Linked DNA regions of Oryctolagus cuniculus. Each later gene encodes a partner of the first gene's protein in a complex. Links are inferred from orthologs where the notes say so. Each region holds a gene or a part of one and is shown in the gene's direction. Other genes may lie near its edges.

Region 1 (7,911 bases):
TGCTCCCCGTCATCCCGCGGGGCTCCTGCAGACGTGCTCACTCTGGCCCCTGGCATGGCTGGGCTGTGGAAGACAGAGAGTGACCAGCGGCTTCGGTCCTATTTCCCTGAGAACTTTCCAGGAGACCACAGCCTCTTACTGTTTCGGCACAGTCTGTGGTGTGCCAGGAGCAGATCGGCACCGGCACCACTTTGGTGCTGAACCCTGACCCTCAGTGAACCACCTCACACCTGCTGTGACCCCAGCTCCTTCAGTGCCACGTGGTAGATGCCCACCAGGGTTCGCTCTTCTGGATTTATCTCTGGGGCCAGCACTGTGGCGTAGCACACAAAGCTGCCTGGACGTGGGCCTCCCACGTGGGCACCAGTTTGTGTCCCTGCTCCACTTCCGACCAAGCTCCCTGCACCCACGTGGGCGAGATCTCCCTCCGCTGGCTCACTCCCCAGAGGCCCACACAGCCAGGGCTGGGCCAGGCTGAAGCCGGGAGCCAGGCGCTCCACCAGGTCTCCCATGTGGGTGCAGGGCCCAGGCACCTGGGCCTCACTGCCCCCCACAGGAGCATGAGCAGGCGTGGGAGCAGAGCCGCTGGTGGACCCGGCGCTCTGGTAAGGGCTGCTGCTGCTGCAGGGGCAGCTTCACCGGCTGAACCACAACCCCAGCCCCCCAAAGGCCTCTCACGAGAGATTTACTGGACTCGCCCAAGACTAGGGAACACCCTCCCTGATACCAACCTCTCAATCTAGCACTACAGGCTTCCCCTTAACATGAGCCCTCCGGGGCTGGCGCTGTGGCACAGCGGGTACAGCACTGCATCCCACATGAGTGCTGGTTCGAGTCCCAGCTGCTCCACTTCTGATCCAGCTCCCTGCTGATGGCCTGGGAAAGCAGAGGAGGGTGGACCAGGTGCTAAGGCCCTTGCACCTTCGTGAGAGACCCGGATGAACTTCCTGGCTCCTGGCATTGGCCTGGTCCAGCCCTGGCCACTGCAGCCATCTGGGGAGTGAACCAGAAGACAGAAGATCTCTCTCTCCCCCTCCCTCCCTCTCTCCCCCCATACTCTTTCAAATAAACCAAAATTTTTTTTCTTAAAAAAGGCAAAGAAATAGCACGCAATTCCAGAATCCCGGGGGGCATCTCCCCCAGGGCCCTGAGCAGTTGCACCGCAGGACAGAAAACTGATGCCCCAGGGGGGCGGGGTCTGGGGCAGCTCCCAAGGCTGCTCAGAGGTCAGGAGGTCAGAAGGCCAGGAGTCATGAGTGCAGGGAAGGCAGCCGCCCGCTCGCTCCCAACTCCCCTCTGCTGCCCCAGCACAGAGCCAGGAGCCAGGGATCTGCCCTCCCCCTTCCCCCCGTCAGTGACCCCTGCCCACTGCTGGGGCCACCCACAGGCGCTCAGCCGCAGAGCACAGAGGTGACCTCTGAACCCAGGGCACCGCCGGCCAGCCGCCGGCCAGGCCCCTCACCTACCCTCTGCTTTTCTTTGCTTTATCAAAGCGGAAGTCTGCAGGGTACAGGTGAACCCTCACCAGGTGGTCCTTCCGGGCCTCGCTGGTCTTGAACCTCTCCGGGCAGCCCTCCACCAGGCACTGGTACTGAAAGGCAGCCGCGTCACCGCCCGCCCCGCCGCCACGCCCCGCCGCCCACCGGCCCGGCACCCACCATGTCCTGCCTCTCGGACAGGACCTGGAAGAGCGAGTCGTGCCACTCCAGCACGTGGGCGTCCAGCAGGTGTCCGGAGGGGAAGGCCCGCTGGCAGAAGGCGCACACGTTCCTGTGCAGCGTGTGGTAGTGGTGCTCGTAGCACTCCAGCGTGTCGAACACCTGGCAGCAGCCGGCCACCTGGCAGGTGAACTCCGGCACCCTGGCGAGGACAGAGGCCGAGCTGGACCCCTGACCGTCGCCACGCCCCCGCCCGAGACGCCCCGAAAGCTGCCTGCGCACCAGACGGGGGGGGGGGGGGGGGGGCGGATGAAGATGCGCACAGCAGGCAGCCTGGAGCCCACCCTCTGGAGCTCGCGGGCGGGATGGGGGGCGCTCGCTCGGCTCAGGCTGCTCCGGGCACAGGACGGGTGGGGGCCTGGCCCGAGCTGCTCACCTGGGCCTGTCCGGCACCTCGGCCACCTGCGTGAGCACATCCTGGAGGTACAGGTGCCGCTGCACATCCCCTTCCTGCGAGAGAGCCGTGCTGTGGGCGGGCCCCCGGAGCTCGGGCGCAGTCTGCCACACCCCAGGCCAGCCCATCACAGGCCCAGCCCACCTCCCGCCCCTCAAGGCCCTGCCCACCGCTCGGGCCCACCCTCAAGGCCCCGCTCACAGGAGGCCCCCCCACGCCCATCTCTCCGGGCCCGCCCTCAAGGTCCCCGCTTCCTCTCTAGTCAGCCCCTCAGGGCCCTGCCCGCCAACCAGACCCACTCCAAGGCCCCGCCCCCAACGCGTGCCCGCCCTCAAGGCCCCGCCCCGCCCATCTCTCCGGGCCCTCCCCTCAGGGCCCCGCCCCCGCCCTGCCCACCCTCGAGGCCCCGCCCCCCGACCACCGTTCTGCTCTCTTCACCTCGAAGAACTCGTGCTCCCGCGGGAAGCGCTCCTGGCGCGCCGCAAAGCAGAACGGAGAGGCGCCCGCCGCGGGGTCCCGCTCCACGGGCAGCGGCTCGGCCGCCCCAGGCCCGCCAGCCAGACGGGCGCGCAGCGCAGGCGGCAGCAGCATCCCCTCAGGGGCCTGCGGCTCCCAGCCTGCCGGCCACTGCCCACCTCGAACGTAGGGTGCGCCGTGACGTCAGCGCGCTTCCGGGGGCGGGCCCTACTTGCCGCCCGGATGTGACGTCGGTGCGCTTCCGGCGGCGGCAGGCGGCGCGGGACTGGGTGGTCGCCTCGGGGTCTGGTGAGTCCGGGGTGGTGGGGCTGAGTGGGCTCCGAAGGCCGGCAGGGGTTCGGGCGGGCCGCTGGCCCGAGCCGTCCTCTTCCGCCCGCCGGGCCGCGGTTCCTGTGGCCCGGAGCTGGCTCCCGCCGGAGGGGCCTGTAGCGCCCGCGTCGCGGTCGGGACCCTGGAAGCGGTGGCAGCGCCCAGGACGCGCCGTGCGGCCCGAGGGGAGGGTCCTTCCGTGCTGGGACGGGCAGACGGCACCCCTGGAGCCTGGTCGGGGGCGCGCGCCCACCTGGTCGGAGCGGCCGAGGCCCCGCGTGACCCCGCGCGAGCTCGGGCTGGACGCCGGGAGGCGACGGCCTCCGGGTGCCCGCGGACGCAGAGCCGAGGACGCGGGAGTGTCCAAGACCCGGAGAGCGGCCCGGCCGACAGCCGGGTTGGCGTCAGTGCCTGGACGTTGCACCCCTCGAGCCTCTTGGCCGCGGGTGGCGTCCGATGCGTGACTCTGGCCCACCCTCAGCGCGCTTGACCTGGTGTCCACCTGGCCACCGTGAACCTCAGCCCCCGGCTTCAGGAGGCCTGGCGGCCGGGGGTCCGAGGAGGCTCTGGTGGTGTTGGGCGCGGGGCGGCGGTGTGGGAACCGGCCTGGGCCTCCCGCGCCTGCCCGGCAGCATCGGCGACTCCCCGGGGTGCCGGCGTCCGCTCCCTGCTGGCCTCGTGCTGCCCCGTGGGCTGCTGTGAGCACCTCCCGACTCGGAAGCGTGCGGCCAGTGTGGGATGCCCGTGCGGTGACCAGGAGACCGAGTCCACCCCGACGCTCAGCCGTGGTCGGGAAGCCGAGTGCCTGGCGCCTTTGGTGTGCTTGCTGGGGCGTCTGACTTAGAGCTTGGCCTCGCTGAAGCTGTGGGGCCGGTAGCTTGCTGGCACGGTGGGGGTTTTGTTTGTTTTATGTTAGGGAGAGGAGGTCTTCGTCTGCTGGTTCACTCCCCAAATGGCCGCAGTGGCTGGAGCTCCCTCCAGGTCTCCCACATGGCCCAAGGACTTGGGCCACCGTCTGCTGCTTTCCCAGGCCACAGCAGAAAGCTGGATTGGAAGTGGAGCAGCTGGGACTGGAACCTGCGCCCGTGTGGGATTCCGGCACTGCAGGCGACAGCTTTACCCGCTACGCCTCAGCGCTGGCCCTGTGGAGTGGTTCTTAACCATTTTGGAATCACAGAGCCTTTGAGAACTTGGTGGGAGACCGTCACTCAGAAAACACAGACATGAATCATTTTGCCTCTGACTTCCAGGATTTGCACGTTACTTGTAGGTTCCAGGTTGGACGCCAAGTGGTTTTCTAGGGCTGTCAAGTCTGCTTTTGGGTCTGGGGAAGTCACAGTGCCCTCGGGCCCATCACGAGTGCCTGGGCAGCCCCGGCAGCAGCAGGCACCAGTGCGGTGGGGACGCCTGTGTAGTCTGCTGCTGTCCACTGGGAGCGTCTGACTGACATGGGACCCTAGGACAGCTGATGACCTGGGCAGGCTGAGCTGAAATGACCCCAGGCGAACAGTGTAGGGAGCAGTGAGAACGTGACGCCCTCCGGGGCCTGCCCATCCTGAGCTGGGCCTGGGCAGGAAGAAGCAGCGTGTGGGTCCTGGGAGGCGGCGGCACACAGAGGGTGGAGAGCCTGGAGGGGGCCTCCCGCGCGTGACCCGGCTCCACTCTCCATGCATTTGGCCTGTGCACAGCATCCCTCCCCCGGCCTGTCCAAATCCTGGAGTCCCAAAGGGGCAGAGCTGCCGTGTCTGTTCTGTCCACCAGCTGAGGGCTCCCTGGTGGAGGACAGAGGGAGCCGGCACTGGCACACGGGTTGGCTCACCATCTGTGACGGCGGCATCCATGTGGGGGCGCAGGTTCAAGTCCTGGCTGCTCTGCCTCCAGGCCAGCTGCCTGCTGATGCACCTGGGAAAGCCCCAGGAAGCCCCAGTGCTTGGGCCCCTGCACCACGTGGGAGAGCCTGGATGGGCTTCCCGGCTCCTGGCTTGGGCCCGGCCCACCCCCAGCTGCTGCGGCCATTTGGGGAGTGAACCAGCAGATAAAAGATCTCCTTTTCTCTCTCTTTCTCTGTGTCACTTGGCCTATCATAAAAAAAAAAGAATTAAGACCTTTGGGGTCACAATGATTCTTCCCGCTGGGGCTGGTTGTCTGGTCTGTGGCATAGCTGAGTGCCATGCAGCTGGCGGCACACGGAGGCGGCAGGTGGTCAGGAAGGAGCTGGGGGCTGGGGCCGAGTTGCCCTGTTCAGGGCCCAGCCGTGGCACGTCAGGTCCTCGTCACCGTGTGCTGCAGGCTTGGTTTCCCCTCTGGAAGGCGCACCGCGATGCTGGTGACGGGGAGCCGCAGCCATGAGTGAGTTTCGGATTCACCACGACGTCAACGAGCTGCTCAGCCTGCTGCGTGTGCACGGGGGCGACGGGGCTGAGGTCTACATCGACCTGCTGCAGAAGAACCGGACGCCCTACGTCTCCACCACCGTCTCCGCCCACAGCGCCAAGGTGAGCGCCTGCCCGCTCCGCAGGGCCTTGCGGGACCACGCTGGCGGGTCCCGTCCCTGGTGCCCGTGACCACATCCTGCACACCAGGCCGGCCCGCGTCTCACACCAGCTCCTGCCCTTTGCCCACCCCAGAGATGAGTAAGTGGAGACCGGGGAGAGACCACAGCCTTTCCTGTGAACAGGAAGAGAAGCTGCTGGCGTTGGCCACGTTGAAATCCCTTTAAAGCACTGTTTCTCTGTTCAAGTAATACGTCGTTCAAAATAAAGTCTTCAGTGGAAAGTGATCTTGAATTTGAAGTCTTCTAAAAATGAGTGGGGAAGTTTTATTTAGATGGCGGAGCAATGGCAGGATGTGACAGATCACGTGTGGATGGGGGGCTGAGGGGCACACAGGAGCACCCTCGGCCACGCGAGCTCTGGGCCGTGGACAGCAGGAGATGTGGGGCTCGCGAGTGGCCAAAGCCCTCACGGCCTGACCCGAGAGCAGCTGCGTGGCAAGGCCTGGGTCTGTGTGGAGTCGTTAGTTTTCTTTCAGAGACAAATAGGGTAACTTAGCTGACCTGGTTTAGTTTTTTTTGACTTTAATTGTGGCCATTAAATCACTTATGTGTGTGCTTTTAAGGTTAAAATTGCTGAGTTTTCCCGCACTCCAGAAGACTTTCTAAAGAAATACGATGAACTGAAATCCAAAAACACGAGGAACCTTGACCCCCTGGTGTACCTGTTGTCAAAGCTTACAGAAGACAGAGAGGTAGGCGCCCTGTGCCCAACATGGGGACGCTGGGAAGGGCGCTCTCCAGGGTCTCAGAGCCGAGTGACGTGTGCCTGCTGCCCAGCTCCCACCTGCCCCCTGCCAGTAACGCCCGGAGGCCAGGTGCCGGTGCGTCGAGCGGGCGTCACCTCGGCTGGGTGGGTCTGCACCGGGTGTGAGGAGAACATGAGGCAGAGGGGCCCAGCCAGTGACCTGCTGGTTTCTGTCCTCTAGTCCAGGCTCAGGGGCCGCTGGACGTGCTGACCACAAGGACAGCTCAGAGCAGACTGCAGAGTGTCCTCCCTGTGGGGCTGCAGGGCCCTCCTCGTGTCCCGTGTGGGCATCTGAGTTAGAAAGGACCGGGCGTGACTGTCCAGTGAGGTGCACAGACTCTGCCGGCCCGTTGTGGACACACAGTCTGCATGTTTCAGACCCTGCAGTATCTGCATCAGAATGCGAAGGACAGAGGCGAGCTCGCGGCCAGCGCTGCCGCCAGCAGTGCTGCCGGCTTCAGCGTCTCCGCCACGGCCTCCAAGATGTCCATGCAGGAGCTGGAAGAGCTCAGAAAGCAGCTGGGCAGCGTGACCACGGGCTCCACGCTGCAGCAGGTATCACAGCCATGGTGGCCACAGCGCCAGCCGGGTGGGCGCTTCTCTGTTGTGGGCTGACACTGTGGTGTGGCCAGCCTGAGACACTGGTATTCCATACAGGCACAAATTCTAGTCCCAGCTGCTCCACTTCTGATCCAGCTGCCCACCAGTGTGCCTGGGAAAGCAGCAGAGGACGGCCCAGATCCCTGGGCCCCTGCACCCACATGGGAGACCCAGGAGAAGCTCTGGCCATTGTGGCTGTTTGGGGAGTGAACGAGTGGATGGAAGATTGCTCCCTGTCTCTCCCTCTCTGTTTGTGTAACTCTGCCTTTTAAAGAAAACTTAAAAAAAAAAAAAAAAAAAAAACTGTGGGCCAGCATTGTGGTGCAGCAGGTTAAGCCACTGCCTGCAACACTGGCATCCTGTCTGAGCGCTGGTTTGGGTCCCAGCTGCTCCACTTCTGATCCAACTCCCTGCTGCTGTGCCGGGAAAGCAGCAGAGGACGGCCTGAGTGCCCTGCTACCCAGGTGGGAGACCAGGGTGGAGCTCTGGGCTCACAGCCTCAGCCTGACCCACCCCCGGCCGTTTTAGTGATTTGGAAAGTGAACCAGTGGATGGCAGATGGATTAATATCTCTGTTCTCTGTTCCTCTCTTTCTGTAATTCTGCTTTTCAAATAAATCTTTGATAATTAGTAAATCAACCTGCATTTAGGGGAGCAGAGGCTTGATGCGGAGCCTCGCTCTCCAGGGTGACTGTCCTTGGGAGTTCTGGACGGGAGCTGGCTTGTAGCCCAGTGGTTACGATGCCCAGTTCTCTGGTAGAGCACGTGGCTTCAATTCCCAGCTCCAGTTCGTGGCCGCAGCGTCCTGACAGTGCAGAAGCAGGTGATGGATGGCTCAAGTGGTTAGGTACCTGCCGGCCACCTGGGGACCTGGATTGAGATCCTGACTCCTGCCTTTGGCCTGGCCCTGTTCCCCCCAGTACAGGCATTTGGAGAGCAGAAAGTGGATCGGAGTGCTGACTCCTGCCTCAGATAAGTGAGTGAACATTCTGGAATTCCAGATGCAAGAGATAAGTAGCGCTAGTGAGGCTCAGCCTTCCTGGGCCACCAGGAGTCTTGCTTCCTGTCTGCTTCCTCTTAGTCTGGGTGCTTCCCCAGATCTCTGGGTTGTTTC
Region 2 (7,860 bases), on another chromosome or scaffold:
GGAAACGGATTTGAAGAGTGCTCCCACTTCTGGGAGAGAAGATGCAGGGGCAAGGCACGGTTGGGAGTCGCGAGCCGCGGCGAAGCGTCACCCGCTAGGGTCACACACACACACACCGGCCGCGGCTCGCGGCTCGCGGCTCGCAGGAGCCCGGCGCCCCCGCCCCCGCCCGGCCGAGGCAAGCGGACGCCGCTCGCTCGCGGGCAGCCCCGGCGCGGAGCACGTCCTGGCGGCAGCGCCCGCCCCGCCCTCGACCCTCAGAGGGAGCGGCCGGACCCGCCCCGGCCCGGCGAGAAGGCCGGGTCCCCGTGCGGACGCCGGAGCCGGACGACGGCTGGGGGGACGGAAACGGCCCGAGGCCGGCGGGGGCGGGCGCGGGGCGAGCTCCAGAGCCTTCCAGAGCCGCCCGGAGCATCTGGGCGGCGGGGCCTGGAAGGCGGCCGAGTTCTCTTTAAAAAAAAAAAAAAAAGAGCGAGAAAAAAAGAAAACAAAAGCCGGAGCCGGCGTCCGAGCGGGAGTCTCGGCGGCGCTCTGGCCTGCTCCTCCCGGGCTCCCAGGGCCGGCCCCCCTCGGAGCGCGGCCTGGAACGTTCCGGGGGGGGGGCGGGCGGCGCTGCGCCGGCTGCTCCGTAATTGTTCCGAGACGGCTCCGAGCATGCATATGGAAGAAATAAAGTAGCTCCCTATCTCAAATAAATTCCAGATGCCCCGGAGACCTACCGGGAACACGCGAAAACTGTTGTGCAAGCAGGGAAGATACTGCGAGTAGGGGCCGGGGTGGGGTGGGGTGGGGGCTTCCTTAAGTTCTCGAAACAAAGGGAAAGTCCGCAGTAAAACTGACAGCGTCCCTGTGGCAAGACACACTTCTCGATGTGAAGACGAGGCCCAGGTGATATCTGCAAGCTGTCCAAGGGTGGATGTGCGGAACTGACTGCAAATGTCTAAGATAAACGGGCAAGGGCTACCCACGGGCAGGTCCCAGAGGAGGCATCCCCAAAAGGAAAGCGAGTGGCCCTCGCCCGGCATCGCGACTGGGCATTCCACCCTCCAGATCCCCTTCAGCCTCTGTGGAACTGACAAAACCAGTACCTGGCAGCCCAAGAGCAGGTGCGCCTGTGGGAAACAACTCGGGCTGGGAAGAGTGCAGCCGGTCAGGAATAAGCCCCAAGCTGTGCAAGCCTCCACAGAGACTTGGCGCTTCCTGTTCGTAGGCAGGCAGCTCCTGTGCCCCTGTGGTGGGGGGTTATTGAGAACAATCTTTAAAAAACATCAAAACTGTGCATTGTATGGAGTACTATGTGACATCTCCAAACGCGTACATGGTGTGATGTTCAAACCACAGAAAACATATCTGTCTCTGCAAACATTTATCAGCTCTTGAGGGTTCTAGCTTTTTAAGAAAGCAAACAATACTTTACTGTCATCCATAGTCACCCCACAGGCCAATTCAACACCAGAATGCCTTTCTCCTGTCTAACTATAACTTAGTATCGGTTAATCACCCTTTCCCATCTGGCCTTCCACTAATTGAGAACAATCTAACCCCACTCGTTTGGAAGTAGAATAAACTGCTTTTGTTTGTCCACTGAAATACAATACAGCAGTTAAAAGGGATGAACTAAATCTACCCATATTAACACGGCTACATCACAAAAAGCCCTAATGTAAGGTGAAAAAAGCAAGCTGCTTTTCTCTGATATTATACTTTGGTATCATTTATATAAATTTCAAAACACAAAAATAGATGGTAAAAATATAAAATTATGTTGTCTATGTCACCTTTCCGGTAATTTAGAGTAAAACAGAGCCTCAGAGATACCACTTCACACCCAGGCTATGATCAAAAGCTAGCGAGGAACAAGTGTTGCTGGAGATAACACTGGAACCCCTCAGCACTGCCAGTGGGAACGTAATCTTGTGCAGCTGCTGTGGAAAAGAGTATGGCGATTCCTCAATTAGACACAGTTATCAGCAATCCTACTTCCGGGTATGCAAGCAAGGAGTTAAATAGATATCTGTACACCCGCGTCCAAAGGGGCACTATTCAAAATGGCCAAAAGGTGGAACAAGTGTCCGCCGAGGTTTGAGTGGATAAACAAATGTGGTGTATCTATGCCACGGAATATTATTCAGCTTTAATAGAGAAAGAATGGTGACTTCCAGGGTCTGCGCCGAAGACGGGAAGTTGCTGTTTAATGGGTAAGGTTTCAGTTTGGGAAAGAGAAAATGCTCTGAAAATGGAGGGTGCTGATGGGTACAGAACAATGCGAGTATACTTAATGTCTGTTAACTGTTGAAATGATGGATTTTATGCTGTGCACGAGTATGTCAAACAATTTTAGAAAAATAGAAATTTAAAGGAAGAAAGTTGCCTTGGATCCAGCCCAGGCCCCAGCGGAGCTGACAGTCCTTAGGGCATCAGGACCTACACCCGGACTACCTAGTGCACCCAGCCGTCCTCTCCCCACCTGCCCGCAGCCTAAGGTCGCGACCCTGCGAGCCCCCGCCAGTCTCAGGGCGCAGGCGCGGAGAGGTGGGCAGGCGGGGGCGTGGCCTCGCTCTGCGCCTGTGCCGAATTCCAGCTGCGCCTGCCATGGGGGAAAATGATGCCCAGGTTGGGCTCCGCGGCCCGCCGGCGGAGCAGACGCCCGCACTGCACACGCGCAGACCGAGCGCTCGCGTCGAGAGGCGAGGGGAGCGCGCGCTGCCCACGTCCTGCGCGCCCGGCTGCCGGGCGTTCGTCTCGGCCGTGACTCCCGCCGGGCCCGTGTCCGCAGAGCGATGCCCCGGGAGATCATCACCCTGCAGCTGGGCCAGTGCGGCAACCAGAGTGAGCAAGCGAGCTCCGGGCCCCGCCACTCTCTCGTTCTGCCCCTTCGGGGTCCACGGGAGTGCTTGGTTCCCACCGGGTCCCCTCTCCCTCTCGTGAACCCCCTGCCCTACTGCGCATGACCACGCAGGCCCTGGGCTGTGACGGCTCCCAGAGCCGGCGTCCTGGGCGCACGCTCCGAGAGTGGCAGCCTCAGAGCCTGACGCTGAGCTGCCCAGGCCTTTCGGCTCTCGCAGACCCGGGCGTCTCCCCTCTCCCCAGTTGGTTTCGAGTTCTGGAAACAGCTGTGCGCCGAGCATGGTATCAGCCCCGAGGGCATCGTGGAGGAGTTCGCCACCGAGGGCACGGACCGCAAGGACGTCTTTTTCTACCAGGTGCCCCCGGCGGCTGGGCCAGGACCCCGGGGGCCTGAAGGGACGGGGCAGGGGCTGGTGCTGGGGAGCCCGCTGGGCACAGGGCCCCGCGGCTGGCTCGGGGAGGGAGGCCCGGCAGGAGCCCGAGTGGGACTGGACTGGGGCCTGGGCCGGCGGTGGCGCCGGCTGACGGGGCCGCCCCTTCCCGGCCTCTCGCTGGCAGGCCGATGATGAGCACTACATCCCGCGGGCCGTGCTGCTGGACCTGGAGCCCCGGGTGATCCACTCCATCCTCAACTCTCCCTACGCCAAGCTCTACAACCCGGAGAACATCTACCTGGCTGAGCACGGAGGAGGAGCTGGCAACAACTGGGCCAGGGGATTCTCCCAGGTGTCCAAGCCGGGGACCCTTGGATAGTCCCACCCTGGGGCAAGGCAGGCTCAGGCAACCTGGGAATTTGACCAGAACAGATTTCTGATACGTAAGAGATAAAGGGATGCTTTGACAAAGGGACAGCCAGGGAGAGCTTTATGCAAATTTTGTACAAGTCACAAAGTATCATTTCTGCGTTGAGGGCAAGAGCTGAAGCTCTGCTTCAGGGGGGTCACAAAGCCCTCCCCCGCCGCCCTCCCTTGTGGAATTCTTGTTGCTGAACAGAGAACCTTGGACCTGACTCTCTGCCATGTCTCTGTCCAGGGTGAGAAGATCCACGAGGACATCTTCGACATCATAGACCGGGAAGCGGACGGAAGCGACAGTCTTGAGGTGAGCTTCTCCCCAGCTCCCGTGGGGTGCAGCGGAGAGGGGCTGCGGCGTGTTGGGGGTCAGGCGGTGGCCCGAGCAGGCCCTGGGATGGTGGCAGTCCAATTCCAGGCCCATTTGTTGAGCATCTGGTTTGGGATCTTGAGGTAGATAAGGTGCAGTCCTTGTTCTCAGGGAAGCCGTAGCCTGGAGGGTGTGAATCCCTCAGCCTGTCCCCAAGCCCTGAGTCTTCCCAAGGAGCCTCGGCCTGGACGGACACAGAGGAAGCCTTGAGGCACGAGTGTGTTGCGAGTGGGTGGGGAATGAGACAAGCTGGCAGCCTCCCCCTCCCCCTGCCCAGGTCCCTGGTCACTGCCTGTCCTTCACTCCCACACAGGGCTTCGTGCTGTGTCACTCCATTGCCGGGGGGACCGGCTCTGGCATGGGCTCCTACCTCCTGGAACGGCTGAATGACAGGTAGGCCGGTGTTTGTTAGGAGGGCATTAGCCCGGGTCCCCTTTTCCTTCTGAGCGGGAAGGCCTGCCCCTACTGCTTTTGAGTCCTAGAGACAGACCCACCCAGGTAACCTTGGCAGCAACCAACACCTGGGGGGGGGGGCACCTGGGGACAGGGGAGATCTAGAGTTTGATGCTTGCAGCTTATCCTGTTCATTCTGAAGACTGAGTCCCGCCCTTACCCTGCTACTGTACAAGAGCTTGGTGGCACACGAAAATCGTGGTGCCCATTGTCCCCACAGAAGACAGAGTGAGCAGTCCGGTAAGTCCTGTTGCTTCTCTGTGCCACCCTCCCCCTTTCCTTCTTCTTCACCCTCAGGTACCCCAAGAAGCTGGTGCAGACCTACTCAGTGTTTCCCAACCAGGACGAGATGAGCGACGTGGTGGTCCAGCCCTACAACTCGCTCCTCACGCTCAAGCGGCTGACTCAGAACGCAGACTGCGTGGTGAGCAAAAGAAGAGGGAGTCGAGGGCTGTGGGACCCCCCTGAGTCACAGCCAGCCTGCCCTGCCCTGCCCAGCACAAAAAGAACCACCAAAGCCAGACCCGTGGTCGGACTGCGAAGTAAGGTCGCAACCTCCAGGGTGCTTATGTGACTTTAGGCAGCCAGTCCCCCAGCACAGGGACTGCCTCCCCCTGCCACCACATAAGCCACTCAGCCCACTCAGTGCCTGCTCACGTTTCAGCTCCAGCTCAGGGGTCACTGTCTTAGTGAAACTTCGCTGCCTACCCAGTCAAGGTCAGCTTCCTTTGTCATATTTCAGGTTAACAGCGTCTTTTTTCTGTTCTGTATTCAATGTCAGCCTCCCTCAACTAGGCTGGAGGCCTGGCGAGGGCAAGACCGTGCCCGTTTTCACTCTGTGGTCACTCCAGACCCAGGCACAAAGTGTGGCACAGAGGACACTCACAGATTTGTTTACTGCCCTGCACTGTCCAGAGGGACTCATAATACCCCCAAAGAATGCTTTCCTTGTAAACTAGCAAAGCTACTGACTGCCTTTACAGCTTAGCAGGTGCTCAGCCAATATTTCATGTCTATGCCACCCTGTCTGTCCCCTCCAGGTGGTGCTGGACAACACAGCCCTGAACCGGATAGCCACGGACCGCCTGCACATCCAGAACCCATCCTTCTCCCAGATCAACCAGCTGGTGAGCCCACCTCTGCACTCCTTCCCACTGGAAGTCCTCCCTGAGGGAGGACTGTCGGGGGAGGGGGGAGGGGTCCTACCCAGGCCAGGCCCATGACACAGCACCCCTGTCCCCAGGTGTCCACCATCATGTCAGCCAGCACCACCACCCTGCGCTACCCCGGCTACATGAACAACGACCTCATCGGCCTCATCGCCTCGCTCATCCCCACGCCCCGGCTCCACTTCCTCATGACCGGCTACACCCCCCTCACCACGGACCAGTCAGTAAGAGCAGCCCTCAGTGTCCCGGGCCAGCTGGCCCTGACCTGGCCTCTCCTCTCCTCGCTGCCCTGGCAGCTGCCCATTGCAGCCCCCAGAGGCCTTGCACTCAGGCACTGGCAGAGCGTGGGACTGTCTCGCTGCCTCGTCTCCACCTTCCCTCTGCCCTGGGCTCCTGCAGGCCCCGTGGCGTGGGGAGCGCTGTTGGCTCCTGCACGAGGACATGTCTGTGAGCTGACGCTGGTCCTGCCTGAGAGGCCGCACTGCTCCAAGTCTGCCGGGGTGTGCTGGCTCCTCTGCATCCCTGCCCGGTGCCCCGAGTGCTGGTCTGGCCCCTGTGACCGCTATCCCACCCCTCAGGTGGCCAGCGTGAGGAAGACCACGGTCCTGGACGTCATGCGGCGGCTGCTGCAGCCCAAGAACGTGATGGTGTCCACAGGCCGGGACCGCCAGACCAACCACTGCTACATCGCCATCCTCAACATCATCCAGGGGGAGGTGGACCCCACCCAGGTAGGGGAGGCCCCTTCCTCCTAGCCTGAAGCCGCAGGGGCACAGAGAGGCTGCCACCTCCCACTGTGCCCACCCAGGTCCACAAGAGCCTGCAGAGGATCCGGGAACGGAAGTTGGCCAACTTCATCCCCTGGGGCCCAGCCAGCATCCAGGTGGCCCTGTCGAGGAAGTCTCCCTACCTGCCCTCAGCCCACCGGGTCAGCGGGCTCATGATGGCCAACCACACCAGCATCTCCTCCGTGAGTCTGGCCATCCTCTGTTCCACCCTCTGCCTTCCCCCAGTCACTTCTCAACCCCTCCCCGTCCTACGCTGGCCCCTCTCCTGGAGTTTTCCGTTTCTTCCAGCTCTTCGAAAGTTCCTGCCAGCAGTACGACAAGCTGTGGAAGCGGGGAGCCTTTCTGGAGCAGTTCCGCAAGGAGGACATCTTCAAGGACAACTTCGACGAGATGGACAGGTCCAGGGAGGTTGTGCAGGAGCTCATCGACGAGTACCACGCAGCCACCCGGCCGGACTACATCTCCTGGGGCACCCAGGAGCAGTGACTTCCCTTCCTGTTCCTCTTCCCGAGTGGGAAACACAGCCTCCATCCCTGGTTCCGCTGACCCAACCCTGCCCGTCAGCCTCTCTGGGTCATCTCCAGCCCAGGAGCTGGCCTACTTCCTCCCTTCTGTGCCCTGACCCTTGATATGCTTGTTCAGCTCTAATAAAGTAATAAAGCATGCTTGTGAGCATAGGCAGGGCTTGAGCGGAACCTGGGGGATGGTGAAGGGATGTCCAGTGTCCAGGCACGCGATGGGAAGGTGGCCCCTGCCTGCTCTAGTCCAGGTCTGTGTCCAGGGTTTCCACTGGTGTCCTTTTTTATTTATTTATTTTTATTTTTTGACAGGCAGAGTGGACAGTGAGAGAGAGAGACAGAGAGAAAGGTCTTCCTTTGCTGTTGGTTCACCCTCCAATGGCCCCCGCGGCTGGTGCGCTGTGGCCGGCGCACCGCGCTGATCCGAAGCCAGGAGCCAGGTGCTTCTCCTGGTCTCCCATGGGGTGCAGGGCCCAAGCACTTGGGCCATCCTCCACTGCCTTCCCTGGCCACAGCAGAGAGCTGTCCTGGAAGAGGGGCAACCGGGACAGAATCCGGCACCCCGACCGGGACTAGAACCCGGTGTGCCGGCGCCGCAAGGCGGAGGATTAGCCTAGTGAGCCGTGGCACCGGCCTCCACTGGTGTCCTTTACCTTGAGTCTAGCTGTCTTACTGGAGTCAGCCCTTCTCTCAAAATTACAGAGGATTTCTGGGGTCTTCTCTCTCCCCCGTGCCCACGCTGTTGCCCTAGGGGACCAGCATTGCCCCACCCTCCTCCATTCGGGACGGAGGACATGGGGTCTACTGAAGCAGGGCCCGCTGCATTCTGAGCAGGTCAGGAAAGCCAGGACTCGGGGTTTCCAGCGCCCAGGGCCTTCAGAGTGCTGGGAAGCAGGAGCAGAACTCGAGCAGGGATCAGCCCAC

What was found. Proteins that work in one complex are often made in the same cells at the same time.
Region 2: TUBGCP2 (region 1) and TUBG2 share a complex: the UniProt entries of both Homo sapiens proteins name them as parts of the gamma-tubulin ring complex. The link is inferred for Oryctolagus cuniculus from reciprocal best matches to the Homo sapiens genes TUBGCP2 and TUBG2.

The regions. Positions count from the first base shown.
Region 1 is NC_091446.1:257,359-265,269, forward strand, and holds the start of TUBGCP2 (gamma-tubulin complex component 2), read left to right. Parts: upstream 1-2,738; 5' UTR 2,739-2,877; intron 2,878-5,187; 5' UTR 5,188-5,243; coding exon 5,244-5,393; intron 5,394-6,015; coding exon 6,016-6,144; intron 6,145-6,575; coding exon 6,576-6,752; intron 6,753-7,911. Other genes in the region: ZNF511 (zinc finger protein 511), read right to left, coding at 735-993, 1,467-1,591, 1,659-1,860, 2,095-2,168, 2,551-2,703. UniProt on the Homo sapiens protein: Component of the gamma-tubulin ring complex (gTuRC) which mediates microtubule nucleation.
Region 2 is NC_091448.1:20,228,633-20,236,492, reverse strand, and holds TUBG2 (tubulin gamma-2 chain), read left to right. Parts: upstream 1-2,584; 5' UTR 2,585-2,780; coding exon 2,781-2,829; intron 2,830-3,090; coding exon 3,091-3,203; intron 3,204-3,405; coding exon 3,406-3,573; intron 3,574-3,879; coding exon 3,880-3,948; intron 3,949-4,321; coding exon 4,322-4,401; intron 4,402-4,758; coding exon 4,759-4,885; intron 4,886-5,501; coding exon 5,502-5,588; intron 5,589-5,704; coding exon 5,705-5,854; intron 5,855-6,208; coding exon 6,209-6,361; intron 6,362-6,438; coding exon 6,439-6,600; intron 6,601-6,706; coding exon 6,707-6,904; 3' UTR 6,905-7,083; downstream 7,084-7,860. UniProt on the Homo sapiens protein: Tubulin is the major constituent of microtubules, protein filaments consisting of alpha- and beta-tubulin heterodimers. Gamma-tubulin is a key component of the gamma-tubulin ring complex (gTuRC) which mediates microtubule nucleation.